Diceros bicornis minor: one gene and its partners. The protein of the gene in region 2 interacts with the protein of the main gene of each other region in a biochemical or structural test. Links are inferred from orthologs where the notes say so. Each region holds a gene or a part of one and is shown on either strand. Other genes may lie near its edges. The genes, in order: JAM2, TJP1, CLDN2 and CLDN8.

What was found.
Region 1: the proteins of TJP1 (region 2) and JAM2 form a complex in vitro, tested with the Homo sapiens proteins (2 studies listed by BioGRID and IntAct, with this or other methods). The link is inferred for Diceros bicornis minor from reciprocal best matches to the Homo sapiens genes TJP1 and JAM2.
Region 3: the proteins of TJP1 (region 2) and CLDN2 form a complex in vitro, tested with the Homo sapiens proteins (2 studies listed by BioGRID and IntAct, with this or other methods). The link is inferred for Diceros bicornis minor from reciprocal best matches to the Homo sapiens genes TJP1 and CLDN2.
Region 4: the proteins of TJP1 (region 2) and CLDN8 form a complex in vitro, tested with the Homo sapiens proteins (2 studies listed by BioGRID and IntAct, with this or other methods). The link is inferred for Diceros bicornis minor from reciprocal best matches to the Homo sapiens genes TJP1 and CLDN8.

Annotation. Positions count from the first base shown.
Region 1 is NC_080766.1:26,994,701-27,001,681, reverse strand, and holds the start of JAM2 (junctional adhesion molecule B), read right to left. Parts: upstream 3,018-6,981; 5' UTR 2,773-3,017; coding exon 2,706-2,772; intron 1-2,705. UniProt on the Homo sapiens protein: Junctional adhesion protein that mediates heterotypic cell-cell interactions with its cognate receptor JAM3 to regulate different cellular processes. Plays a role in homing and mobilization of hematopoietic stem and progenitor cells within the bone marrow.
Region 2 is NC_080744.1:79,819,334-79,827,102, forward strand, and holds the start of TJP1 (tight junction protein ZO-1), read right to left. Parts: upstream 3,021-7,769; 5' UTR 3,004-3,020; coding exon 2,828-3,003; intron 1-2,827. UniProt on the Homo sapiens protein: TJP1, TJP2, and TJP3 are closely related scaffolding proteins that link tight junction (TJ) transmembrane proteins such as claudins, junctional adhesion molecules, and occludin to the actin cytoskeleton.
Region 3 is NC_080781.1:99,660,663-99,668,168, forward strand, and holds the start of CLDN2 (claudin-2), read left to right. Parts: upstream 1-4,498; 5' UTR 4,499-4,520; intron 4,521-7,506. UniProt on the Homo sapiens protein: Forms paracellular channels: polymerizes in tight junction strands with cation- and water-selective channels through the strands, conveying epithelial permeability in a process known as paracellular tight junction permeability.
Region 4 is NC_080766.1:30,990,741-30,996,452, forward strand, and holds CLDN8 (claudin-8), read right to left. Parts: upstream 1,193-5,712; coding exon 515-1,192; downstream 1-514.

The DNA of each region.
Region 1 (6,981 bases), on a different chromosome or scaffold from region 2:
TGAGCACACCTAGTGTCCAGATCTTGGTTTCCAACACCATTCTCCAATAAAAGGAACTAGGGCTCCTTGGAGATATGGCTGATTCTAGGACTAGAGCAGGAAATATGCAAGATCCGTTGGGAGCATTTTATAGTGCCAAAAAGTAAGGAAGTGCTAAAAACAAACAAAAACTAAAATGCATATATACATGATGGGGATATGTCACGGGAACATAGGAACCACTGAAAGAACTCCCAATGGTCAAAGCTGGAACAATCTGTGCAATAAACTAAATAAAATAGTATTGGACTATAATCCAAAGTATAAAATAAATATTCATGAGCCCATACTGATATAAAAATGAATGGCTGAATGAATGAATGATTGGGGAAGGAGGGAAAGACACATCTCCCAAGCAGAAGAAGTCCAAATAATTATAGAGATACTACACCTTCAAGGAGGTGGAGCATAACTCTTCTTCCTTAAGTGTGGGTTGTACATAGTGACTTCCTTCCAAAAATTACAGCATGAAAAGAGGAAAGAAAGGGCGACCTATGGATAAACCTGACATAAGTTACCTCAGCCAGGTGATGAAGGTTAACATCAACAGTGATAGGTCATGTTCATAGTATGTACCCTTAATATGAGGTGATGAAAATAGCTCTTTACACTTCTGTGGTCTTCCTCCTAAAAAACCCATAAACCCAATCTAGTCATGAGAAAAGCATCAGAGAAATACCAACTAAGGGTATTCTACAAAATACTTCACCAGTACTCCTCAAACCCATCAAGGTAATAAAAGACAAGAGAAGTCTGAGACACTGTCACAGCTAAGAGGAGGCTAAGGGGACATGATGACTAAGTGTAATGTGGTGTCCTGGATGGGATCCAAAACAAAAAAGGACATTAGGTAAGAATGAAGGAAATCTGAATAAAGTGTGGACTTTACTTAATAATAATGTATCAATATTGGTTCATTAATTGTGACAAACATATCATACTAATGTAAAATATTAACAATGGGGGAAGTGGGTGTGGTGTATATAGGAACTCGCCATAATATCTTCACAATTTTTCTTTAAACTATTCTAAAATTTAAAAATTTATTTTAAAAACGAAAAGAAAACATTCTTGCAATGCTAGACCTTTTGGCATACCAAGAACAATATAGAAAATATCCACACACACTTCCAAATTAATCCCCTAGAGGAGTGAGAGTTAGAAGAGCCAATGCCTTGGATTTACCCAAAGCTTGAAGAAGAGGTTATTCTGCCCATTCATCTAAACCTTAGTTTACCTCTTGGTTGTTTCTTGGCTACAATTTCAAATTTAGGGTGTATTGTTTCTGTTTTGATTACTAAATAGGGATAGCAGAGTAAGACCATTTTCTGTTTTTAACCAGTGACAATTCTACACTAAAGTCAGTCTTTTTTATTTGAAACGTAAGATTGTCAGTGGAATACATAACTTTCCCAGTAGTTTTGTTACAATTCCTTCAGCCTGCGTCTTTGTTGCCTTTCAGCATTAGTGCATTTTTTCCCCTGTGTGTCCATCATGATACCAACTGATAATTCAAAACTGCATAATGGTTTTATTGTGAAACCTTGCCTTTCTAGTTTGATTTTCTCTAATACAGGTCAGCACACGCCCCTTCACTGAGACAACTGGCACCTTCCTCCCCCACTGAGGGACAATGCCCACATCACCTTGAGCTGAGCAATACTCACTTCGGCAATGAGAGCGTGAGAAAAAGTCACTGGATTATAGTATTAGACACTCATCTGGCTATTTTAAGTATTTTATTACCAGAACTTGAATAGCAACAATAATCCATACTATTAAAAAAAAAAAAAAAGGAAAGAAAAAGAAAAGGAAAACCGAAAGAAAAAAGGAGGGCTTCATTGCTTAAGTGCTTAAATTCTATTGTAATTTCTTCCATTTTCCTAAAAAGTTAACGCGAAGAAAACACAATAATAGGAAACGTTCCCAGGATTTTAAATCTCTTAAGTCCAGAATCCGTGAAAATCTTGTTTAGAACCATCCCGTGAAATTGGCTTTGGGACGTCCGCCTGCTCCTCGATCATTCAGCTTCTGCATCTTTCTAACAATCATCCCGTCGGACGTCCCCTGAGGACACAGCAGCTGGCTGGAGTCCCCAGACCAGACTTTTCTAACTGAATGTGGATGCGCAGGTGGAGAGGATAAAAGTAATTCTGGCACAGCAGCCACGAATTCCCCCACCCCCCGCCCCACAAGTGCACTGCGTATTGCCGGCACAACTGGGGCCCTCGGAAGCCCAGAAAACTCGAACACTGCCCCCTCCTCTGGTACTTAGAGTGTGGCCGGCGCCTGCCTCCGAGCGATGCCATCTTGGGATCTTAGCATCTTATAACGCGTTAGTGAGTTTTGCATTCTGTTCACGTCCCTGTGTCTTTGAAAACTTAACCCAACTTTGCACGAAGACGAGAACCTACTGGTGTGCACCGTTAATTTTCTCTAACTAGAAATGACAAAATCAGATGCTATTTACAATAAACCGAAGACACCAGCCTCCCGCCCTCGAGCCTGCCCGCTCGCTGGGCGCCAAGTCAGATGCCCCGCGGCAGACCCTCAGCCCAGAGCCCCGGAGACAGCTCTCCACGAGCGCCGCGTGCAGGCGCTGGAGGTTTCGGGGAGCTGGTCCCAGCAGGAGAGAGCGGGAGGGTGGAGGGACCCCAGCAACTTACAGCCCAGGGCGACCACCAGGTAGCGCAGCAGCAGCAGGAGGAGGCGGTGGCGGCTCCTCCTCGCCATCTTCCCGGGGTCTCGAGGGTCCCGGTGGCCGGAGCGCGGGAGGCCGGGCGGAGGGACCCTCAACTTCTGGGGTGGGAGAGGAGAGTCTCGTGCAGCGGAGGGGAGGGGAAGGGCGGACCCTGATAGGGTGTCAGTTTCCCCTTCCAGGGGCGCCTTCTCAGCCGGCTGCCTACGAGGCAGGTCTGGCCTGGCTGGGGGCTGGGGGGTCTGGGGCGTTCTTTTTTGGGGGTTGCGGGTGAGAGGGGGGCGGGTCGTGGAAGCCGGACGAGGTGTCAGCTGGGTCCTCATGAGCAGGCAGAAGGCGAACAGCGGAAGGAAAGCCCTGGCTGGGCGTCCCCCCGCCCCCGCGCCGCTCGGATTGAGCCGCTTTGTGTCTGGTCGGCGGGGGGGCTGCCAGCTGTCCCCAGGGCGAGGAGCCCCGGGCAGGAGGCGCGGGCTGCTGGGCGGGGTGGGGGGGCACGGTGGAGCGGGGAACTCCGCTTGCCTTGCTCCAACTCCTCTCCTCCCCTCCTTGGCACAAAACTTGTTTCTGGATTTTCAGCCTAGGGGTGGAGATTTTTGGAAAATTTCTGGCCAACGGGCGAAGCTGCGGGGGAGGCGCTCTGGGGGGGATGGGGTTCGCCGGCCGCGCCTTGGACGCGAGGGGGTAAAAACAGCAATCAAGACTCGTGCTGGAAGGCAAGTCTCAGAATTTAGCAATCGCCTTGGCCCCTTCTCAGTGTAAGCTTTTTGCTCCTTGGAGAGAGTTAAGGTGTGTTTTGTGTTCTTTGCTTTTCACGTGTCAGAGTTGGAAGTTCATCTAACGGTGTGAAATATTTATCGTGTTTCTTTCCAGTTACATAACTGCCGCCTGTGGAGTTTTCCACATGTTAAAACTCTACAGCTGACCTTCGTCAGATTTATTTTTGGTCTACTGTGCTTTTAAAAGGGAAACCCATTATGAATGCTCTGTTGCGTGCTTTAAAATTGACCCGCACTTGTACTGCACACACTACAAAGGCTGAACAGGCCATTTTTATATTTGCTCCTAGGGACCAAAAATGTCTGGTGCATTCAAGAGTATTGACAGGTTTAGAAAAAGGCCATTCCCAAGAGAAGAACTTGTTATACATCTTTTTGTTGTTGTTGTTGTTAGAGGTAGAATAATGGATAAAGTTCTGTATAGAAGACAGTAGATTTAGTGGCAAGCGAGGGAACAATTTAGCTAGCTCAGTGGACAAAGGCGACCAGAGTTTAAATATGCAGAGCTGTGAGGAATGAGGCATCCCCGCTGTTTCCTTGGTGACAGTGATGGAAGCTTAATACCCATGGTGGGGAGAGGGGCAGAGGAACCAGGGAGCCCAGAAAGGAAAGTCAAAATGGCAAAAATGTTAGAGTTCATACTCCAGTCAAGTAAGGAGAAGGGACACAGATTTAACAGGCTTATATGCCAGTTTTTCTGGGCAGTAACAAGAAAGATTTAATGCTCCACAAGAAAAGTTGTTGGCATCCTCTTTTCTCATTCTTGCCACATCTGCATGTCTTTTTTTGGTGCTCCCTAAAGATACACACAAAAAAGGCATACTTTAAAAAAATTATTGTTCTTTGAGACCTACGTGAATAATTGATTCACTCAGTTGCTTATTTGTCACCCAGTCAAGGCATTTGTCAAATAGCTACACTGTGCCGGATGCTGGCGGACAATGGTGAACAAGATCAAGTCTTTGCTGTTAATGAGCTCACAGTCTTGAGGAGAGAGGGAGTCCCATCTGGAAAGACCTCTGATACCATGTGGTAAGTGTTCCGGGAGGACAGAAAATAGTAACAACAGTTTTTTATTGAGTGCTTCCTCAGTGGTAGAGTCTGAATTGTGCAATATCTAACCCCCCAACAACTCTGTGAGGGAGAAAGTTTATCATTCCCACTTGAAAGATGAGAAAACTAGGCTGAGAGATGCTAAATAGCTTGTTTGAGGTCAAGGATAAGGGGATGTTCCTCTGTTGGGGATGGGTGCAGGGCTTTCTTTATTAGGCATTGAAAATGGAGTCAAATTTTGAAAGGAAGGAAATAAGGGAAGGGCATTCTAGGTAGAGCAAAGAGCAGGATCAAAAGCTGGGAGATGTAAAAATTATGGCTTGTTTAGGAAAAGTAAGTTTCAATAGCTCTAGGGTACACATGGAATTAAGGGCAGAGAGGTGACAGAAACTGAAAAGAGGGTTGGACTATGAGGGTCATTCAGTATTACACTACAGACTCTAGACTTTATCCTGTAGGTAAAGAGCTTTTTGAAAGCACTAAGGTAGGATATGAAAAAACCCATATTTTAAAACTGTGCTGTCCAATATGGTGGCCTCTAGATCCATGTGGCTATATAAATTTGAATTCAATTAAATTTATAATTCTGTTCTCCAGTCACACTAGCCACGTTTGAAGTTCTCAGTAGCCACATGGGGGTAGTGGCTACCCTACTGGACAACGCAGATGTAGAGCATTTCCATCATCACAGAAAGTTCTATGAGACATTGCCACCTTAGGATGATGATGCAAATGGAAATGTAGAGAATGGACTCGAGATAAGAGAATCAGAATATTAGACAAGTCTGAAAACTGTTGTGATGTCCTGAGACAGAGATGAGGCATGAAGTAAATGGTCACAGTGGGATAAATGAAGAAGCAGGTAGAGTCAAATGATATTTCCCAAACCTGGTCAGCAGGATGATGTCATCAATTAGATATGTGAGAAAAGGGAGAAGTTGTAGGTAACTGAGATTTCTAGCCTAGGTGGATGTATGGGGTGGTTATACAGAGCATCATTAACTGAATAAGAAACATAGGGAGCACACATAGTTCCGGCAGGTTTGGGATGAGTTGACTGAGGGTTATCAGCTTAGATGACCAGCAAACTGTTAGAAAGATTGGGCTAGAGCTTAGGAAACCCTCAGCATTGACTCAAGAAATAAATGTAGATATCATCAACATCTCCTAGAACAGTGATTACCAAGATTCTGCTCCTCAGAATCCCCTAGAGATCCTCAAATGTGATTCTCTGCTTAAAATTATGCCAAAATTCTGAGTCCCAGAAGTTTCCATCTCAGGGGCACCTGGGAAGCTGTATTTCTGACAAGCACCCTGGTTGATTCTGATGCACATAGTTTATGGACTATTTGAGGACCTTTCTAGAAGACAAGAGAAGCCATGAGAGTGAATGAAGGAGATCAATCAGAAAAAGAAGTGAATATTTATGTGGAGATAAATCCAAGGAAATAAATCCAATAAGAGGTAGGAAGAAGACCAATGCAAAAAGAGTGAATCTAGACACAGATCTTACACTTTTCACAAAAATTAACTCAAAATGAATCATAGACCGAAATGTAAAATGCAAAACTATAAACTCCTAGAAGATAACGTAGGAGAAAATCTAGATGATCTTGGGTTTGGTGATGACTTTTTAGATACCACACCAAAGGCATGATCCATGAAAGAAAGAATTGGTAAACTGGACTTCATTAAAATTAAAAACTTCTGCTCTGTGAAGGACAATTTCAAGAGAATTAGAAGACAAGCCACAGACTGGGAGAAAATATTTGCAAAAAAAAAAAAAATATATATATATATGATAAAAGACTGTTATCCAAAATATACAAAAAACCCTTAAAACTCAACAATAAGAAAATAAATCTGATTAAAAAATTGGCTAAAGACCTTAACAGACACCTCACCAAAGAAGATATATAGATGGCAAGTAAGCACATGAAAAGAGGCTCCACATTATATGTCTTCAAGGAAATGCAAATTAAAACGACAATGAGATACCACTATATACCTATTAGAATGACCAAAACACAGAACACTGACAACACCAACACCACCAAATGCTGGCAAGGGTGTGGAGCAAAAGGAACTGTGAGAATACAAAATGGCACAGCTGCTTTGGAAGACAGTTTGGCAGTTTCTTACAAAACTGAACATACTCCTAGCATATATGATCTGTTTCTACCGTCAGCACTTCTGACACTAAATGTATGGGTTTTTTTCCCCCTCACTCCAAACAATTCTTCCACTTTCCAAACACCATGTAGGTGTTTTATAATTCAGTTCAATTCTGATGCTAACTACCCAGAATTAGTGCATACCCAGTAGGTTAAGGGCTTAGTCCCACAACTCTACCTTCATTTCAGACTCCAATTGCAAGTATTGGGTACCCAAGGTACCCACACGTCTGTCTGACTT
Region 2 (7,769 bases):
TCCTTAAAGGATTTACAGAGCCAATCACAAAGACAGAAAGATGTTGCGCAAAGGAAAGCTGATGAGCACAAATGGCCAAACTAGATAGAAGTGTGGAGATAAAGCACTGGATCATTCAACCCTACCCTTTACTTACACTGGCATAAGCTTTGCAGGCATGCTGTCTTTCCACACAGACTGCAATAATTTAAAGAGAGAGAAACACAGAGAGTATACACATTTTCATAAACATCTTCATATAAATCTTCATATATGCCACAACCAATTATCATAGTATACCCTCACATCTTGTAAATGGGCATAAGCTGGTGCATTTCAAGGTCTGACATACACTGCTGACATATATCTGCTATTGGTTCCCACCCACCATTCTGGAGTCAGAACCCACACCCTCATATCTTCTAGCCATGTAACGGTGCCTTCCGTGTCAAATTCTCCACGTGCAGTTGCTACGACACTGGCGAAATGAAATGTTATCTACAAAATCAATTCCAGAGGATATAACAGATAGATTAATCAAGCAGCACAATATTCTCTAACTTAAAGAAAAAAAAAAAGGATTATACATCTGTGACATCTGTGTTTAAAAGTACCACCCACTCCACAGTTTTTGTAGCGTATGCTCCTCACTTTCCCACTGTAGAAACTAGATAAACGTTTGCAAATTCACTTAACGCTGAGTGGAAATTCTGAAATGCTTGTTTAAGATTGTGGAAAAGTTCAACAAAATCCCCCTGCCCTTTCCCAGGCCGTCTCCTAGTAAGACAGTTGTTAATCCTGTCCCCAGTTCACTGCCTGCCTCAAATGTGACTCCCCAGAGTAAAAAAGTTACCTGGATTTTATCTTATCAAGTTCTCTCTTCACAAACTTTGTATTGAGGAATGTATTTTCAGAAGTAGCACTCCAATTATGAAAAAGAATAAATCTAGTTTCCTGGCTTTGTGACCAAGTGCTGCTAATATTCATGCCTAATGGCTCCTCAGACATTATTCCGACATCTTAGTTTTTAAATTTAACATCGAGAAAATTTTCTTTCCCAGTTATGCATTATTAAGAATTCATTTATTCAACATATGTCTTTCTAGAACCTATTTTGCACCAGATACTAGTTGCAGGGGATTTAGTAATGAACTAAACAGACAAAAGCCCTGTCCCCATGCAAATGCTAGTGCGGTGAGAGGCGACATATATGAAAATGAAGTAAAGTATGTAGTGGGTTAGATATTGCTAAGTGCCCAGGAGAAAAACATGGTGGTGGGAGGGTGGGGATAAGACTGTTGGTGCTGATCTCTTTTTATTTTTCCTGTACACCATCAATCTGAAAAGTCATCTTCAAATGTTACTGTTTCTTGCTTCATAATAGCGACATAATCTTCATATATTTGCAAAATCTTCTTCCATGGACATTTATTAATTCAATTACTGCCAATTTTTACCAGTCTAGTCTTCGATGTGTTGTCAGTTGCTGTTCATCAAGTTAAACTACCTTTTGCAGAATAAATTTCTCTTTTTTTAAACAAATTGAGGTGGGGGGTAAGGAGGAAGACACTAACATTTACTAAGTATCTATTATTGAGCCAGACATAGTGGCAGGCACTTCATATTCATTATCTCAGTTGATCTGCATATGACCCCATGAGGTAGATAACATTCTCATTTTACAGAGGAAGAAACAGATACTCCAGTAACTTGCTTCAGGTCACACAGTAAGTGGCACAGCTAAATCTGAACTTTGCTGCCTATACTTTTTGGTCTTATCTCGAAAATTCTCTACTCTTGGGATTCTTTTTTTTTAACTCCTCTTTTTTTTTGGGTGCTCAATCTTTATATTCCTTGGATCATTTTCTCATTTGTCTGATATAGCAGAAATTACTTTCCCCAAATGCCTAAAAACAGCCTTACTTCCTTTTCTCTATAACCTTAAAATTAAATTAGACTATGTTCAATTGAATTGTATAAAACCTTTATGAACTACATTGACCACAAATTTTAAAATTAAAATGACCACTGAATACCAAGATCACTGGCATCTTTTTTCTTTAGTCACCATCCCTTTACTTGACTATTTCTTTTGTCATAGCACCTTACGCCTAAGTCGCAAGTCCAGAGAGTGCCTAGGCAGCCACTGGGATTCCATATGACATATTTAAATACTAATAAAAGGCAATACAATCTGAGAGATAATCAACTATGTAAACCTGACCTGGATAACGTCCAGACATTCTTCTCTAAAGGCGTTCTTTTCCTGTTACCCCAATAACAGTTTCCAGGTCGGAGGAACTAAGACACATGCAGATAAAATATAGTCCTTGATAATGCAATTATAATCTCGCAATTTATTCCCCTTATTATAATCTCGCAACTTATTCCCCTTACTGTGGGAGCGGCTCGTCCTTTACTAGGTACCCAAGAGCAGACGGGTTTTGAGAAATAACAGAAAACGCATACTGTGATGCTAAATTTTTCGCTGCCTGCAAGAAAGCCTGGCTTGCAATCCCGAGCCCGAACTCGCTGCAATGGAGCTGAAGGGACAGACACCGGCGGGAGACGGTGGGTGCCCGGGCGCCCGTCAGCCGGCGGCTCCGGCCCCTCCCTCCCGCGGCGCGCCGCTCTGCGTGTCGCCGGGCACCGCCGAGGGTCGCAGCGGAAAACGACCGTGCGAGCGCGGGACGCCGAGGCGCTCGGCCCAGGGGGCTCCGAAATGGCTGCTGCGCCCGGCGCTCTCCGCGCCCGTCGGGCCCGGCCGCCGCCGGCCCGCCCCGGCCCCGGCCCCGGCCCCAACCCGCGCCCGGTCCGGGCTGCGGCCCCGCGCCCGCCGCGCCCTCACCACAGCTTCCTCTTGAGCGGCAGGAGGCTGCCGCGGTTGGAGGGGGTGACGCCGATGGCCATCTGCAGCACCGTCAGGTATTTCTGGTACTTCATCTTGTCCCCGCTCCGCTCGCGGGCAGGGCCCCGCCGCCGCCGCCGCCGGCGCCGCAGACACAGCCCCTCCAAGCGCCGCATAGATCAGCTCTGGGCCATCCGCCGCCACAGCTCCCGCCGCTCCCGCTCCCGAAGCCGCCGCCACCGCGGCCGTGCGTGGCCAGGACCCCCGCTCCCGCCGCCGCCGTCGCCGTGCGTGCCCGGCCGCTCCCGCCGCCGCCGTGCGTGGCCCGCCGCTCCCGCCGCCGCCTCCCGCACCGCCCCCCTCCGACCCCGCAAGCCGCGGGCGGCGCGGGCCTCACAGGCGGCCGGGTTGGCGGTGTGCCGGCTCCGGGAGCGGCGGGGTGAGGCCGGGGCGCCGCCCCCGCCCACCGGCGCCGCCCAGGCCCGGCGCCCCCGCGTGCCTCAGTTTCCTCGGCGGCTGACGGGAACTCATCTCCGACCGTTTCTGCTCCAAAGGGATCCTAACGACAAGCTTCCAGAGAGGAAAAAATTAATTTTTTAATTTATAATTACCACTTAATAGCTTGTAACCATCAGTTCTAGCCTGAAGTGTTTGCAGACTTGGTGTATATATAAAATGCATGTATATGTATATACGTACACATATACAATGCGTATATATGTGTATGTGTGTATATATATACATATATGCAGTCCTCGCTTGCATGCCAGGCAGTTCAGGATTGTGGAAATGACCTGAACCACGCGAAACTATCTTCGTAATCATTGGGAAAAATGGAGATTGTTCCATGACCTTTAAAAATTTTGTCAAAACATTCCAAACTCTCTTCACTGATGGAGATAATGTATAGAGAAATAAAAAAAAAAAATAGTAAAACTAATCACTTAATAGTGTGACTTAGAACATTACAAAGATTGAGAATTAAAGTGTTTTATTTCTCTGTAAGAAAAACTTATTAAGAGTAACTTGCACAGCTCTTGTCTTCTGCTAGTAGAATTGTTATATACTGAGAGAGCGTCTTTTCTATGCCTTGGCAGAGCATCATATTTGGGTCACTTTCAGCATTTTATCCTCTGTACTTTCAATGTCATGAAATATATCAGAGAGTTCCTTTAATGTGACGTCCTCTGGGACATCCTCATCCTTTTTGTCACAACCACTTTCCTCATTCAAGTTCACATTTACTAAGTTCTTCTGGCTGCGTGTCTAGAGTCTCTGGAAAGGCAGCAGAGTCAACATTCCCACAGTTGCCTATTTTTTCTGTAACTCCATTTACATTCCATTCGAATTTTACTTCATTTCCATCTTTATTGTTTTTTCTTTGCTGCACTTTCATCTTGCTGGCTAATTCCCTCTTTCAATTACCCATTTTTATGCAATGTTGTACAGGTTTATCACTGGGAGAAGAGGAGGCAACACAACTGCACAGTTGGCTGCATAAACTGAATAACAGGTGCAGCAGTGACCAATGACTAACAGACTTTGAAAGAACTACTGTGATTGGTCACTGATCATGATGCACATGTTATTGTGTTGTGCTTTGTGGACTAAAGAGCTAGCAGCGAAGTTTATACTACGTGCGTTTGCGCTATATGCATTTTCTTACAGTTAATATGCCATGATAGCTGAAATTTGAACCATACTGTTGAGCAACTGGTATTATTTAACTGAGCCATAGTAGCTAACATCAGGCATATCTGAACTTGCAGAGCAAGGACTGCCTGTTTGTTTGTGTGTGTGTGTGTATGTGTGTGTATAGGATGTATATATGAAGAGTACAGATAACAAGTGCCTGTGCATCCACCAGGCAGAATTATCAAACATTAACACCCTCCCTCCACAGTGCATCCCTCTTGTACCTCTATTTAAACACTGCATTTTCAAATTAATTAGCACGTAAGATTAGAACAAAACAGTCTCCTAGTTTGGGCTCCCAACATAATTTCACAGTCACTTTGGTAGGAAAGCAGGTCTAAATCTATTTCACTTTCATTTATCCATAAGTTTTAGCTCTCACATAAAATGAGGAATTAGAAGATCTTTGACACTTCAAATATATATCCACACATGGGAGAAGACCTTGGAGCAGTACTTTTAAAAAATATCAGGGCCTGTACTTATGTATGTACCGTTTCTAATGTACGCTTGGCCTTTTGCACCACCTTGTCATATTACTGGTAAGATATTTGATGAAAATACTGCACTGTACTCAAGGATTTTGACAACTGGAGGCTGAAGAGATCAATTCAGGATAATGAGAGATAAAAATAAACTGGTAGAAGCACTTGCAGAATGGCAGATAATCTGTTTCTCCATAAAAGGTGAGCAGTGGCTATAATTTGTCAAAACCAACCTTTCCAGAACTCCAGAAATTAACCAAAGGCTTGCAACAATACAAAGAATGTTTGTACAAAAAAATTACTGAATCTTAGAACGGTGAGCTTTATAGTATTTTGACTTGCCCAGTTCCCATCCCCTTCTCTCCAACTCTGCCGTAGCCTTGTAAACCAACAGCCTCGTAACTAAAGTAGTATTGAAAACCAGTTGACTAGCAGCCGCTAATGGGCTTAGAGCTCCTCAAAAGCCCTATCCTCAGATAATTGTCATTATTTGACCTGTTGGCAGCACCCTGAAAAGCTCCATTTACAGTGCTTGTCTTTATTTGACCTGGCTGGCTCAGGATCTCACTCTGTGCAAACAGCCCTATCCCTAGGGCATTTGTCAGAAACAATCAGTAACAATTGTTTAGCATCACAAGCTGCTTGAGGCAGTGAAACCCATTGGGGCTAACAAGCGGCTAACCAGAAAAATTAAAAGGAAAAGTGGAGAATGGGGCTCCGTATGATGCCTTGAAAAACTTCGACATTCTTGGGACTCCAGAATGCCATGTGCACATGTAGGACTGTGTACATGCTCAGGAAACACCTGAGAAGGCCCTAATCTCTCGCTTCTGGGTGACCTTGAGGTTCAGTGCAAGCAGAAAGTGAAGGTTAAGGAAGAGTTGTAAACTACCTATCAGAATGTTGAAGGCATCCCCCAACACACACAGCCTCTCAGCAAAGGCTGGGAGACTTAATGGTTCCAAACATTTAAGGAAATCTCTGTCCAATAATTAGCTGACCACTAAACTACCTAAGCAGAGACTTCAGTGGCCACACATGACAAAAATACAGACTTTACCGAATTAGTCCAGCAAAGTCACTAAATGAACAAAACAACCACAACAAGAAACACCACCACCAACAAACCTTGGAGAGTGGGGCAAGGATATGATTTCTAGGGTTGCCACGTTATATTATTCGAAATGTCCAGATTCCAACAAAAAATTACAGGACATGCAAAGCAACAGAAAAATATGGCCAATATATAGGGGAAAAAAAGCAGTTAATAGAAACTGCCCTTGAGGAAGCCCAGGCATTGGATTTATTGGACAAAGACTTTAAATTGGCTATTATGAATATCTTCACCAAAGAAAACCATGTCTGAAGAACTAAAGGAAAGTATGAGAACAATGTCTCACCAAATAGATAATATAAATAAACAGACAGAAATTTTAAAAAATAATGAAACTCTGGAGTTGAAAAGTACAATGACTGAAATAAAAAATTTACTAGAAGGGCTCAACAACATATTTGAAATGGCAGAAGTAAGAGTCAGTGAACTTGAAAATAAGTCAATTGAGATTATCCAGTCTGAGGAACAGAAAGCAAACAGTGAAGAAAAATGAACAGAGCCTCAGAGACCTATGAGAAACCATTAAGCATACCAACATATGATAAAGTCCCAGAAGGAAAGAAGAGAGAGAAAGGGACACAGAATATTTGAAGACATAATGACTGAAAAATTCTCAAATTTTATGAAAAATATTAATCTTCACATTTAAGGAGCTCAAAAAACTCCAAGTAGGATACACTGAAGGTAGTCCACACCTAGACACACAGTAATCAAACTGTTGAGAGACGAAGACAATGAGAGAATTCTGAAAGGAGCCAGAGAAAAGAAACTCATCACATACAAGGAATCCTCAATAAGATTAACCTGTGACTTATCATCAGCAATCGTGGAGATCAGAAGGCAGAGGGAAGACATTTAAAGGGCTGAAAGAAAGACTATTAACCAAGAATTCTATATCCAACAACACTATCCTTCAAAAATGAAGGAGAAATTAAGGCATTCTCACATAAACAAAAACTGAGAAATCATCACTAGCATACATGCATTACAAAAAATACCAAAAGAGTCCTTCAGGCTGAAATGAAAGGATAGTAGACAGTAACTTGAATCCACACAAAGAAATAAAGAACACTGGTAAAGACAACTATGTAATTGAATATATGAGACTTTAAAATATTTTTACATTTTTTAATATTAAAAATGTTTTAATTAAAAAATATTTTTACTTGAGACTCTTTCTTCTATCTGATTTTAAAGACAACTGCATACAGCAAAAATTATAAACTGTTGATGGGCTTGTAATGTATAAATATGTAATTTGTATGACAATAATAACACAAAGGAGGAGGGAGAGAATGGAGCTATATTAGAGGATAGTTTTGGTGTACTATTGAAATTAAATTGGTATTAATTTTACCTAGATTATTTTAAGTTAAGAAGTTAATTGTAATCCCCAGGACAACCATTAAGAAAATAACTTTTTAAAATATAGAAAAAGAAATAAATAAATTAAAAGAGTACACTAGAAAATACATAGCACAGAAGAAAGCAGTAACAGAGAAATAAAAAAAGACATAAGACATACAGAAAACAAATAGGAAAACGGCATCCATAAATCCTACCTTATCAGTAATTACGTTAAATGTGACTATACTAAACATTCCAAACAAAAGACAAAGTTTAGCAAAATGGATATAAAAACATGATC
Region 3 (7,506 bases), on a different chromosome or scaffold from region 2:
TCAATAACCCTCTTCTCTAACTACATATCTTTGTGAGGCTGGATTTTCTTCATATACTTTAACCAAAACAACATATTGCAACAGATTGAATGCAAGAGCAGATGTGAGAATCCAGCTGCTTTTATTCAGATACTCAGACACTAAAGAGATTTGCAGAAATGTAATACAATGCCACTTTTCTTGCTAATTTTTTTGTTTTGGAAAATAGTCATTTTTAATAAATATATGTTATATATTTTAACATGCAATGGGTTTATCATTGTGATTTTAAATTAAAAAATGAATAGTTTTAAAATTTATCAGTTTTAATTTCTAATATGTTAAATGTTGATATAACCCATAAAAATGAAAGCCCTTTGGAGTCTTCAATAATTTTTTAACGATATCTTTTATTTATTTATTTATTTATTTATTTATTGCGGGGAGGACCAGCCCTGAGCTAACATCCAATGCCAATCCTCCTCTTTTTTGCTGAGGAAGACTGGCCCTGGGCTAACATCCATGCCCATCTTCCTCTACTTTATACGGGACGCCGCCACAGCATGGCTTAACAAGCGGTGCGTCGGTGCGCGCCCGGGATCCGAACCGGCAAACCCCGGGCCTCCGCAGAGGAGCGCGCGCATTTAACCACTTGCGCCACCGGGCCGGCCCCTATTTATTTATTTTTAAATATGCATACAGGTCATTTGAATAATCTGTGTGACACAATGTGGAAGGATGCATAAAATTCATTCTTTTGGGTATACAGTTTCATGAATTTTGACAAATGCATAGAGTTATGCAGCAATTATTACAGTTCCAACATCCCAAATAATTCCCTGTGCCACACTATTATAGCCAACCCCTTCTCCTACTCCCAACCCCTGGCAACCACTAATCTGTTCTCCATCCCTATAGTCTTGTCATTTCAAGAATGCCATATAAATGGAATCCTACAGTAATCAGCCTTTTGAATTTGGCTTCTTTCGCATAGCATAATACACTTGAGCTTCATCTGTGTAGTTGCCTGTATCAATAGCACACTCCTTTTTATTGCTGAGTAGTATTCCATTGTACAGATGTGCCACAGTTTGTTTACCCATTCACTAGTTGAAGAACATTGGATTGTTTCCTAAATAATTTTTAAAACTGTAAAGTGGTCCTGAGACCACAGATTTTGAGAGACGATGGTAATGGGGGGACATTGGAAACCAATAGATGGATGAAAGAGCCATATATTGAAGGTAGGATTGGAAGGATTTACAGATCAGATGAGATGGGGTGTGGAGGGTCAGAGAAAGAGAAAAGAGTGAAATTAAGTCTAATTCTGAAGTTTCTGGCTTAAACAACTGGATTTCTCAAATAGAGAAGACTGAGGGAAGGTTGGTTTTAGTTCAAAGAGAATCAAGGATGCAATTTTGGACATGTTCAGTTTGAGATGCTTTTGAGCTATCAAAATGGAGATGTCAGTATATAGAGGTCTGAATTTAAGAGGGGAAGGCTGGGCTGAAAATGATAATTTGGAAGTCATCAGAGTATACAGGGTAATTGAAACCATGAAAGATAAAAGAAACTTCTGAGAGTAGGAATGCAGTGTGAAAAGACCTGGGTCAGGCTCCTGAGAAACACCTATATTTAAGGATCTGGCAGAGGAGGAGGAGTCAATGAAGAAGTAGCCAGAGAGATAGGAGGAACACCAGGGGAGAGTTGTATCACAGAGGCCAAGAGAAGAAAACATTTCAAGAAGGGCAAAGGTATTGGGGGCATTGAATGCTGCATGGAGCTCAAAGAAGTTAAAGACTGAAAAGTGGCCATTGGATTTGGTGACATGGGGGTCATTCGTGACTTTGACAAGAACTTCTTGGTTTGGTGGAATTATGGGATGGAATGTCTCTAATCCTCTCTCTGACCTGGACCCTAACTCCTTCTCCAATAGTCCTCTCATCCCTGGCCCTTTGCCCCTAAAATTGCTCTTATTTCTCCTTCTAGACTTTTCTTTTCTTGGCACCATCTCTTCTCTCTCCCTCAATACTCTGCTTTATACAGACCTCTCTTAGATTTTCTTCCTCAAAGCCCCTTCTTCTCCTGCTCTCTTCCCTAACCCATCTCTTCCCAGACCCACATTTTCCTCGCTTTATTCTCCTTAACCAGATACTGCTTTTCTCAGACTGCTATTCTTTCCTCTCTTCTTTCAGACCCCTCTCCATTCCCCTACCTATCTAGGCTCTCTGGATTTCAGCAGGGGTCTTAGCAGATTACTAAGGTGCCTCCTAGGCTCAACACTGAGGAGTCATAGTCTTTGGCACGATTCCACCAGGATCCAACAGTACCGACCTGTAGGAAACACAGTGTTAGAACCTAGTCCTTGAGTGACTGCCAATCTGGTAACCACATCCTGCCAACACAGTGCCCTCATCCGCCCTGGCACCTGCCCCTAAGATTCTGCCTTTTCCTGCCCTCAATTGCACAGAGTCACTGTGAGCTGATGAGGTGCTCCTCTACTACAAATTCTATCTTGCACTCAACCAGCATTTTCTACTTGTCAAAATGCTTTCATATTCATTAGCCTAGCCTTGGAAGGTCAGTTGGGTGAAGCCTGAAGAAAGATGTGAAGACTTGCCCCAGGTCACACAGCTGGTTAGAGGATTAGCCTGCTATCCCTCTCACCCCTTCAGTCTTGCTTGCTTTTATTTCCAAAGACTCCCCAGGCCTGATCGCAGGCATGACTGCCCCTTTAGACTGTCCCAGCCTGCCAAGGAGTAGCATCCTGGAGAGACTCCTGCTCAAGAGCATTGCCAGGGATCAGGGACCCCATTCGCACCTGCAAGACAGTTATGAGCCACCTTGGGAAGGAGGATGATTTCTGATTTGCTTCACTGAATTCAAACTAGGCAACAAATCTGTTTGCTTTGATATTACTTCAAAAACGGAGTAGAGCATAATGATTAAGAGCCAAGCTTCAGAGTTGGCCAGGTTTGGTGGCCAGGCCTGGCTCTGCTCTTCAGTAGCTCAGTGAGACAATGTATATGAAAACCCTCAGCACAGTACGTGACACCCAGAAAGTGTTCAATGAATAGTGGGCCTTATCATTTTTACATAGGAGTCCTTGGGACAGAGTCAATGTGGTACACAGGAAAGTTTACTGAACCAGACACCCAGAGGCCTAGATTTCAGGCCTAACTCCTACTGCTCAACTTGTGATGCTGGGTAATTCATTCATTTCGTCTCATTGGGCATAGGCTTTCTCATCTGGAAATGGTAATAGCTGCTCTTCTTTTGTATTATGTTGTATTAGCCTTTAAAGCATTCATACTCTTTGACCTAGCAATTCTGTTCCTAAAATTTGTCAGTATTATGTGCAAAGAAGCCAGGTTATAGTAGTGAAAAAATGGAAATAACAAAAATATCTAATAGTTAATGGCTAAATATATTTTATGTGATAGAAGACAATGCAGCCATAAGAGAATGATGCAAATCCATTTTTTAATTGACATGGAAATAGGGCCATGTCAATGGACCATGTCAATGTCATATCATTACATTATTTAGAAATGATAGAAGGTTACAAAATTGTACGGTATAACATGATTCAATTTTGTAAGAAATATTTCTATTCATGTCTTCTACGGTATAGCAAAATGTTAACAATGATTAACATTATACCTATTGGTGGCAGTATTATGAGGACCTCTACTTTCTTCTTTATTTTCTGAATTTTTTGCAATAGCATCTAGTATGTTTCTAATCAGAAAAAAAGCAGGAAAGTTTTTTTTTTTTTTTCCATTTGGAGAGCAAACCCAATCGCTGCACTCCATTCCACAGAACTTTTGAGAGACTCAGATGACATACAGTATGGTACTGCTGCGTGTGGTACAAAGAGGAGGCCCACAATTACCACGGCCATCTCAGTCCCACCTTGTAGGGACCTGCTCTTTGAAGTCACACGGGTCTGAACCTATAGTATACATATTTTCCCTTGCACCTTGGGGTCAACCTTAGGGGTGGGGAGAGCTAGGGGCTTGTTGGAGAACAAAGCTGGATGGAAGAGTCCGTGGGGCTGTAGGCAGTGCAGGGCTGCTTGGGCACTAGCTCGTCAGGGCTGTGCTTACGAGGCTTATTTCCTGCTGGGCCTCAGAACTGCTAGCCAGGGACACCTAATGGGCATAACAGAGCTCCCTCCTCTCCCCACCCCCAAAGCTAGAATGTTCCGAATTCCTCCTTGGACCAAACCCTTCTCCTCCCAAGGTCACCACACAAAAGCTCAGCTGGAGTTTCTGACAGGAAAAACACAAAACTCACCAAACTTTTTTTTTTAAGTACCTCAATCTTCCACAGCCTCCAGGGGTTTAATTCTGATCTGTAATAAGTCTCTGACCCAAGGCTGAGATTTGCAGATGGATTTTGCAAAGCTGTGGCTAACAATTAGAAATACTTTATCACCTCGGCTGGGGCCCCTTGCACCTTGCTGCCCTCCCTCAGGATCCCTTCCTCCCTCTCCAGGGCTATACATCTCCTCTAAGGCTCTGCAAAAGAACTGCTTCGTAAGTGTCTCAATTCTGATTTATTTGCTGTCTTTTAAATTCACCTGTGGGCTCTTGCTCCCTAGTTGCTCTCAATTTGGCCCATGGCGCAGCCAGGCTGGGGCACCTTGGGTTTCTGAGGGAAGAGCACAGGAGGGAAAATTCAGGTAGCACTTGGGTTGGTAGTATTTGTTTCCTCAAGGCTACCACCAAGTTTCCAGTCTTTGAAACTACAGCGCCAGAGGAAGCACTCTCCAAATCAGATAATAATTTTCGAATGGAGCTTTTGAGGGCGAAAGGACTGAGATAAAAGGATGGGAGGAAAGGAACTATAGTTTACCCCTCTAACTGTGGGGGGCTGAGGAAGACTTGTCCCTGCGCTTCCTCACATCCAGCTCCAGTGCCTTCCTCGGCATGAAGGCTCAGGGAGTCAGGAGAAGGTAGATTTCTGAGTCAAGTCATAAAGTCTCCCCCTCAAGCCCTTAAATAATTTTCCCCTGCTGTTCTGCAAGTCTGTCATTAGAAATTCCTTCCTTGAAGGAAATCCTGCCATTTACAACGACATGGATGGAACTGGAGGACATTATGCTAAGTGAAATGTCAGACAGAGAAAGACAAATACTGTATGATATTACTTATATGTGGAATCTAAAAAAACAAAACAAAAGAGACAAACTCATAGACACAGAGAACAGGTTGGTGGTTGCCAGAGGTAGAGATGGGGGATGGATGAAATGAGTGAAGGGGGTCAAAAGGTACAAACTTCCAGTTATAAGACAAATCCTGGGAATGTGATGTACAGCATGGTGACTATAGTTAATAATACTGTATTGTATATTTGAAATTTGCTAAGAGAGTAGATCTTAAAAGTTCTCATCACAAGAAAAAAATTGTAACTGTGTGGTAATGGATGTTAACTAGACTTATTGTGGTGATCCTTTTGCAATATATACAAATATCAAATCATTATGTTGTACACCTGAAACTAATACAATGTTATGTGTCAATTATATCTCCATAATAAAAAGAAATTTCTTCTTTGGACTGAGACATTATTCTCTTCAAGTGTCCTCTTTGAAAATGGAATTGGAACCAAAACATTAACAGCACTTATAGCTGGGGATATTGTAGGTGATGTCTGTTTTCTAAATTCTGCCTTTCTGTGTTTTCTAGTGTTCTAAAGTGAGAGTGCTTTACTTTGATGATCAGGCCAAAAATAAACTTTTTTTAAAAGCAATTAGAAAATCTCTCAATCCAGTTGTAGTTCCCTGAGCTGTCATCACTTAACTGCTGCAGAAGGAAAGGTGAACTGCTCCAAGGACAAAATTTCCAGAAAGTAGGGCTTTTAAGGGAATGGCTGTGCCACCTACTAGAGCCCTCAGCAGCTGGAGGTGAGGTACAGAGAGGAGAGCAGGTATTTCAGATTCCTATGAGGGGCTGTGAGATCAAGGAATGGAGGAATGAGGCTGACGGACAGAAGAGGGCTGTGATGGCCTCCAACACCCACAGGATGCCACATCAGGTCCTTCCTTGAGCATGAGAACCCCACCTCTCCTGTCCTACTCAGTCTTATGAGGATGCCCCCACAGAAGAGGTACCATGCTCAAGACTCTTGGAGCAAGAAATAAGGAGCCTAGCAGGGCAAGTACCCAGGCAAGAAGGGGTTAATTCAGGAGCTGCTCTCAGGCTTGACCCTCCTAATCTTCTCCTGCAGTTCCAATCCCTCCCCTAAGGAAGATTAGGTACAGATCCTAAATGAAGCCTTCTTGCCTAGCCCTTGGGCCATGGAGTGTGTTGGCCCCATGCCCAGAAGACAAATTCAGCTGGCAAGGCCTAGAGTTCTCTGTTCTTCCAAAGCAGCCAGGGCTTGACTTCTAGGAGGATCCCTCAAAGAGAGGAGTTTCTTTAAAACCTGCCTGCTTCTAATAGCTATTCAGTCTTCTATATTTGTCAAAGTGGTTTCCTGTCCCCATTACCTTATTTGAGACTCAAAACCTTGGAGATGAGCAAACTAGGGCCTGGAGAAGTTAAGGGACTTCCTCAAAAGGTTCCAGGCAGAACTAAGATGAGAAGCTAGTTTTTTGATTCTCAGGCCAGGATTCTTTCTCTAAACCTTCTACAGCTCATTGCAGAAACAAAAGCAGAATCTAGTCAGGCCTACCACCCAACCACTTGCTGTTTTGTTCACCACTGCCTTCCTGACCCTAGCTAAAAGCAGACCCCCATTAGGCAATTTCTCCCAATTGAATAAGCTCTAACAACTTGTTCTTCTTCCTGCCCAGCTATGCCAAATCAGGCTCTCTAGAGATCCCAAGCCTCAGTGATGGCATTTTTTTGACTCCACCTTCCCCATGGCCCAAACCACTTTCCTACTGAGTCAGGATTGGCTCTGGGGAGAGGTTCTCCTCTTGGGGACACTGTTGACCCCCATGGAAAACTCAAGCTGGGCTTTTCTGCCACCATCTCAGGAATTCTGAAGCAGGAGCTGCTCCTCTGGGAGGCAGGAGGTCTTCTCCCCAAAAACCTCAAGGAAGCTTACCAACACTCACACTCAATGCCCAGATATAGATAGGAAGTACAAAGGAAAAGTATTTAACCCAGCCTGGGTGGGAAGAGGGGTCCAAGGAAGGTTTCAAGAAGAGGATGAGTCCTGAAGGATAACTAGCAATTAGCCAAGCAAATGGTGGATGCTTAAGGGCTTGGAAACAGAGAAAAACGCAAATTCAGAGAAGTATGCACATTCAGATATGGCTGGATCGTGTGTGTGTGTGTGTGTGTGTGTATGTGTGTGTTTATGTATGTGTAGGAGCAAAAAGCATGAGGTTGGAGGTTACTGGTGGGATATGAGGCTGGGAAGAAGAGCAGAAGTCAGACAATGGAGGGCTTTCCTGGTTTTTCTGGGCTAGAGAGTTTGAACTTCATCCTGAAAGCAATTAAGAGGTCCTAAAGTTTCTAAGCATTACAAAGAGGTGGGTGGCACTTATGCTTTTCCATTTTAGAAAGATCC
Region 4 (5,712 bases), on a different chromosome or scaffold from region 2:
GCATTAAACACTAAGCTGTTTTTAAACAATTAATGTTAACCTTCTTCAATCTTATCCCCGATTCCCCAGAAAAGCAATAGTTGAATTCTATTTATTCAGTTTAATGGATCAGTATTTCATTTAAAATAGAAGCATACAAGCCTGTTTCTATTTATGCGAGATATAAACGCCACTCTCATCTACATACATAATGCCGTGTCATAGAGAAATCATGGTTGTAAAATAATAGTCTTTAACCATGTCATTTTGAAGTAACTGATAAAGGGAAAAGATGCATGCACCATTTTAGAAATCAAATTACTGTACTTCCTAGAACAATCAAAGCAGTGTGTGTAATATCTCATTCTGCTGAAATAGGTTAGAGAATCATAAATAGCTCGTGCACCGTTCCTGTGATTAATGTTAGGCAGTTAAGAACGGCAAATCAATGTTCCTTTGGGTTCCATTTGTAGAAAATAGTGGACATTTTAGTCATCTGCGTGGTTTTATAGGTAAAGTTAGAAAATGTACACAACTACACATACTGACTTTTGGAGTACACGCTTGGTGACTTCTTCTCCATGTGGTAGCTTTTTTGGGTTGTGCGATGGGAAGGTATGGAGTATCTGTAGCTACTGGTCTTTTCATCGCAACAAGAAACAGAACAGAACAGTGCCCCTCCAGCAATCAGCACCAGCGCTGTGGTCCAGCCTATGTAGAGGGCTTCTCCAAGCTCACGTTTCTGGGCAACATCCACTATTGGGTTGTAGAAATCTCTGATGATGGTATTGGCAACCCAGCTCACAGGGATGAGCACCACGATGCCTGTGATGATGAAGACGATTCCAGCTGTTAGCAAGATGTAACCCTTCACCTTCTCGTCGTCCCCAGTGCACCTGGTACACTTCATGCCAAGGATGGCCATCATGAAAGCCAGGAAGGCCAGCACGCAAGCCGTACACATGAGTCCTCTGGATGCCTGTAGGTCCGGAGAGAGAGCCAGCAGGGAATCGTAGACTTTGCACTGCATTCTGATGTTAGCGTGCCGCATGCAATTCATCCACAGTCCTTCCCAGAGGTTTTCAAAAACCACAATGTTGCTTTCAATGAAGGCAGACACTCTCCACTGAGGCATGATGGTTACAGCCACCGTGCCCACCATGCCAACACCACCAAGCACCAGGCCGGCGATTTGCAGGACATAGGTAGCCATTATCCTCCAGGATGGGTTTTATCCGACTGGATTCCTGAGCCGGTAGGCTGGTTCTGAAGCAAGATTCTCTGTGCCCCAGGAGAGAACAGTTTTCCTGTAGTAATGAACTCAGAACTCAGTGGTTTTTCAAATAAGAGCTGCTTTGCTACTTCTAGCTAGATTAAATCCAGTGTTGGCTGGCTGAGGTGCCCCCCCTGTTGACTAGGACAGGTAAACTTACAAATCAGGTGGGGCAACTTTCTCAGCCAATAAGAGGGGGATGGTAACTCAAGTGTGTCTAAACTGACAAGAGATACTTGGAACGGCTGGACCTGCACATAAACATTCTTTGTACTTCTCAGTTTTCCAAGAGGACAGCAGTACGTTTCCCTGCAGGCATAATTATGAATGTTTGCACAATCATTAAGAAATGCACCAATCCCTTGTGATGTGAAAGGTGCACCTTGTTCGAGCAATTGTGAAACTCAGTAAGAGCTGCTGTGACCAAGATATAAAATAAAATATCTGCCTAAGAAATTTACTAGGACTGTCAAAATGCCAAAGTGAAAGGAGAGTAGGGGGTTGATAGATTTGCTCAGACCTGGGAAACCACATTCTTTGGGACACATATGATCCCAGTGGGTGATTTAATTTGTCTACAACTTTAAAGCAAGCTCAACTGGGGTGAAAACAGGGAACAGATCATGCCAGAGGACAAAATAAGGCTAAAGTAATTAAATACACAAAGTTGTCCTCCTCCATGGCACCAAACACATATTGTTTTGTTTTGAGCCAGGAAAACTACTTGTTGGTATTTTTCTGATAATCTTGATTTGTAAGAAAAAAGTTTGCCAAACTACAAAAAGAATCCATATGATTTTCTTATGTAGCAAGCACTCACAATAGCAATTAAATGATAAAGTGATTTACAGATTGTTGGTATATTTTGTGGCTCTATCTTTGCTGCTCTGTCTTTCTCTGAATTTCTAGAAGCAACTAGAATTCTGCAAATGGTACAAGAGTCCTGGTCTATAGAAATGACTGATATTTCTAAATAAAACATTTACAAGACAAGGTAACTACATTCATTGAATTGAATTATATTAGGTTTTAGCTAAACTTGTCTTTACTACTATGTCTGCAGGAAGTGATAGAAGCCCCCAAGGGTATTGCAATTTGAACTGTCTCTTCTCAAAATAATGATGATGACACCATGGTGCCAAAATAAACATACACGTTGTTTTGGGAAAACAGTACTCCACTAGCACTTTTCTTCTGGAGATCATCACCTCGAGTGCTCTGTCCTGTCTTTCTAAACTTCAAGCTGTACTTTAATAATTTCCTTTCATCTTTACATTTTAAATATGATCTCTTCTTTACAATTTTACTTCCTCTCTGCTTCCTGTACCACCTTAAATGTGAGTATGGGAGAAAGTGCTTCCCTCTCACTTATTAAACTTTGAAAGTTTAATGGTCCAAAAAATGTGAGTGGTTTATAGAGGTTATGAAAACAAAAATGGTACGTGTTAGGGAGGGAAAGAGGAAGATGCCAAAGTAAACTGTCTTCTGAAAAAAAAACAGGAATGTATAGTAGTCCAAGTTGTTATTATTTTATTAGACTGGACATATTGAAAGTAAGAAAAAATTAAAACTTGATATTTACAGTAATTTCCTCATTCATTGAACTGTTAAGAACTAACCTACAGCATGTCCCTAATGCTGACAGAAAATAGCATCTTCTCCCTCAGGCTTGTATTGGCACAGATTTGTGGTGGAGAGGGAAATAGGTTAACCTTGGAAAAATAATCTGTATCCACCAAAGGAGAGTTGCAATCAAAACAGCACGTTTTTTTCTTTATCTTTAATTGCTAACCTGGGAAAGGGGAATGACTGCCAGAATTGGAAAATGAAAAAGAAATGACATGACTGGTTGAGATAACGACAAATTTAAAAAATATACGTTTGTTGAAAATAAAATTGCAACTTCTTTCCAAAATTTGTGTGTGACATGTTTTTTAGGAGCTTTGTTTACATATTGCTGAATATCCAGATAAAAATGGGAAAATTTGAGACAAATAGGTATCTACGTACTTGAGATCTTGGCCTTCCTGGAAACTGCCTCCCAGGTGTGCATTGACGCGTCTGTTGGCTTCATGTACCACCAACACTCTTTCCTTAAGCGCTGAGGTTTACCAGGACCTTATTTCACACAAAAATATTTTCCTCATTTCAAAAATATTAGTACTTTACCACTGGAATTGTCCCCACCAAAAGATTAGGATCGGAATGAGAAGCTAACCCAAGTTTCACATTGGAATAATTATAGAGTTAGCTGCCCTTGCAGAAACTAGCCCAGGGCATCCAGGTAGGATTCTTATCAGACAAGGATCCAGTTAACCCCAGGGCACCCAGGTTTGTTTCTTATCGCACAGTGATCCATTTAATCCCGTGATATTTTGAAATTAACTGTGCTCTAAAGATCACTGGAAATGAGAAAGACAGGGAAAAATGGTAATACCAAGTTTACTAGGGCCCGAAAGGCCTAAATTCAGAGATTAAAAAGTCAATTTACGGGGCCCGTCCCATGGCTCAGTGGTTAAGTGAGCGCGCTCAGCTGCTGGCGGCCCAGGTTTGGATCCCCGGTGTGCACTGACGCACCGCTTCGCCGGCCATGCTGTGGCGGCCTCCCATACAAAGTAGAGGAAGACGGGCACAGAGATTAGCCCAGGGCCAGTCTTCCTCGGCAAAAAAAAAAAGAGAGTAGGATTGACATGGATGTTAGCTCGAGGCTGATCTTCCTCACCAAAAAATAAATAAATAAATAAGTCAAGTTAACTGTTTACCTACTTTTCTATAATACTACATTCCTACTAAGATGATTCACTTGCCTGCAAAATTCAAATAGCAGTAATGGTTAGAGAATTAGGAAATTAATAACATTTTTACTGTTCTTTAATTCAAAACTACAGAGCACAGAGGAACCTGCACAGATTTTTCTATAATTTGTACTTGCATTTCTATGGAAGAACCAAAATATTACCAAGAACCCAAGAAAGAAAAAAGCATGTTCATGTTGACCCACTGTATTCACTCTGGAAATCTCCCTTCGTCTACATTATCAGAAGGATGATTTAAATTTAGCAATTAAGTTTACTAAATTAAATGGTCTGATAACTACATAACACATGCAAATGCTTTCTTTTTAAAAATGAAAACATACAATGTCACTGTCAGGATGCCCTTGTTTTTGTCATCGTTATTCTTACAGCAATTAATCCTAACCAACAACGCTTTAGTCTGGGGTTCCTATTAATTCTTATCACTACTTGAAATAATCTTTGCTTCTGCCAGTCAAGCAGTTGCCAATTTCTATTGTTTTCTGGATTTGTTTTTGTACTTAATTTTCTTTCTTGTGTTGACAATTTTCACCCTGTATTTATTTTTAATTATTTTTCACTGTAAATAAACTGTACTTGGCTGACCATCTTGTCCTAAGAAAACAAGTGAACACATCAATAGATCTCTTTGTTTGTTGTTCCCAAAACAATATTGTGCATTGCTACATGTTCTTCAACTACTATCCTATTTGTCCTGCATGATGATTAGCTGTTCGTGTTCTCTCTTCTTAAAGTTCTGTATCCATTAGCAGTCCTCCACAATCCCACCTCTCTAAAATTTACACTCAATTGCTTTGCTTAAAAATGAACTCCTTCCTGTACAGTAGCTGTCTAGTGTCTTAGCCAGTTCAGGCTGCTTTAACAAAATACAATAGACTGGGTGGCTTAAACAACAGAAATTAATTTTTCACAGTCTGGGGGCTGGGAAGTCTGAAATCAGGGGGCCAGATGGAAGAGTTCTGGTGGGAGCCCTCTTTCTGGTTTGCGGTCTTCTTGCTGTGCCCCCACATGGCACAGAAAGAGAGTGAGAGAGCTCTATTCTCTTTCTCTTCCTATATGGACGCTAATCCCATCAGAAGAGCTCCACTCTCATGACCTCGTCTAAATCTAATTACCTCCCAGAAACCCCACCTCCAAATACCATCACATTGAGGGTTAGGGTTTCAACATATGAATTTTGGGGCGACACAAACATGCTATCCATAACATCTAGCTACCAACAAATCCGAGCAATTAAGTTCACATAATTCTGAAGGGTCTATTATTGCCTCAGGAGTCATCTTTTTTCCAGGATGAAAAAAAAAATAGTGAATATAAATAGACAATAGGAATAATGGTTATTGAAATGATTTTGTCTTTCTTCTACTTTTCATTGTACTTTTTAAAATTAAAATCTGAGTTGTGGTGAATTCTGACATATTTTGGGAGATAGGTCTGCATGCTTTATTGAGTGCAGTGTAATTGATATTCCCCCTAAAGGACTGGAAATCCAGGGAAATAACTTTTTAAAAAATTAAGCTATATACTGTGATATTATTTTCTTTAAATTAACAAGTAATTTCTATGCACAAAATTGACATGAACCTTCCCTAATTGTAATAATTTGGGAAATTTTTTTAAAGGAGCTGGAATTTGCTAGTCATA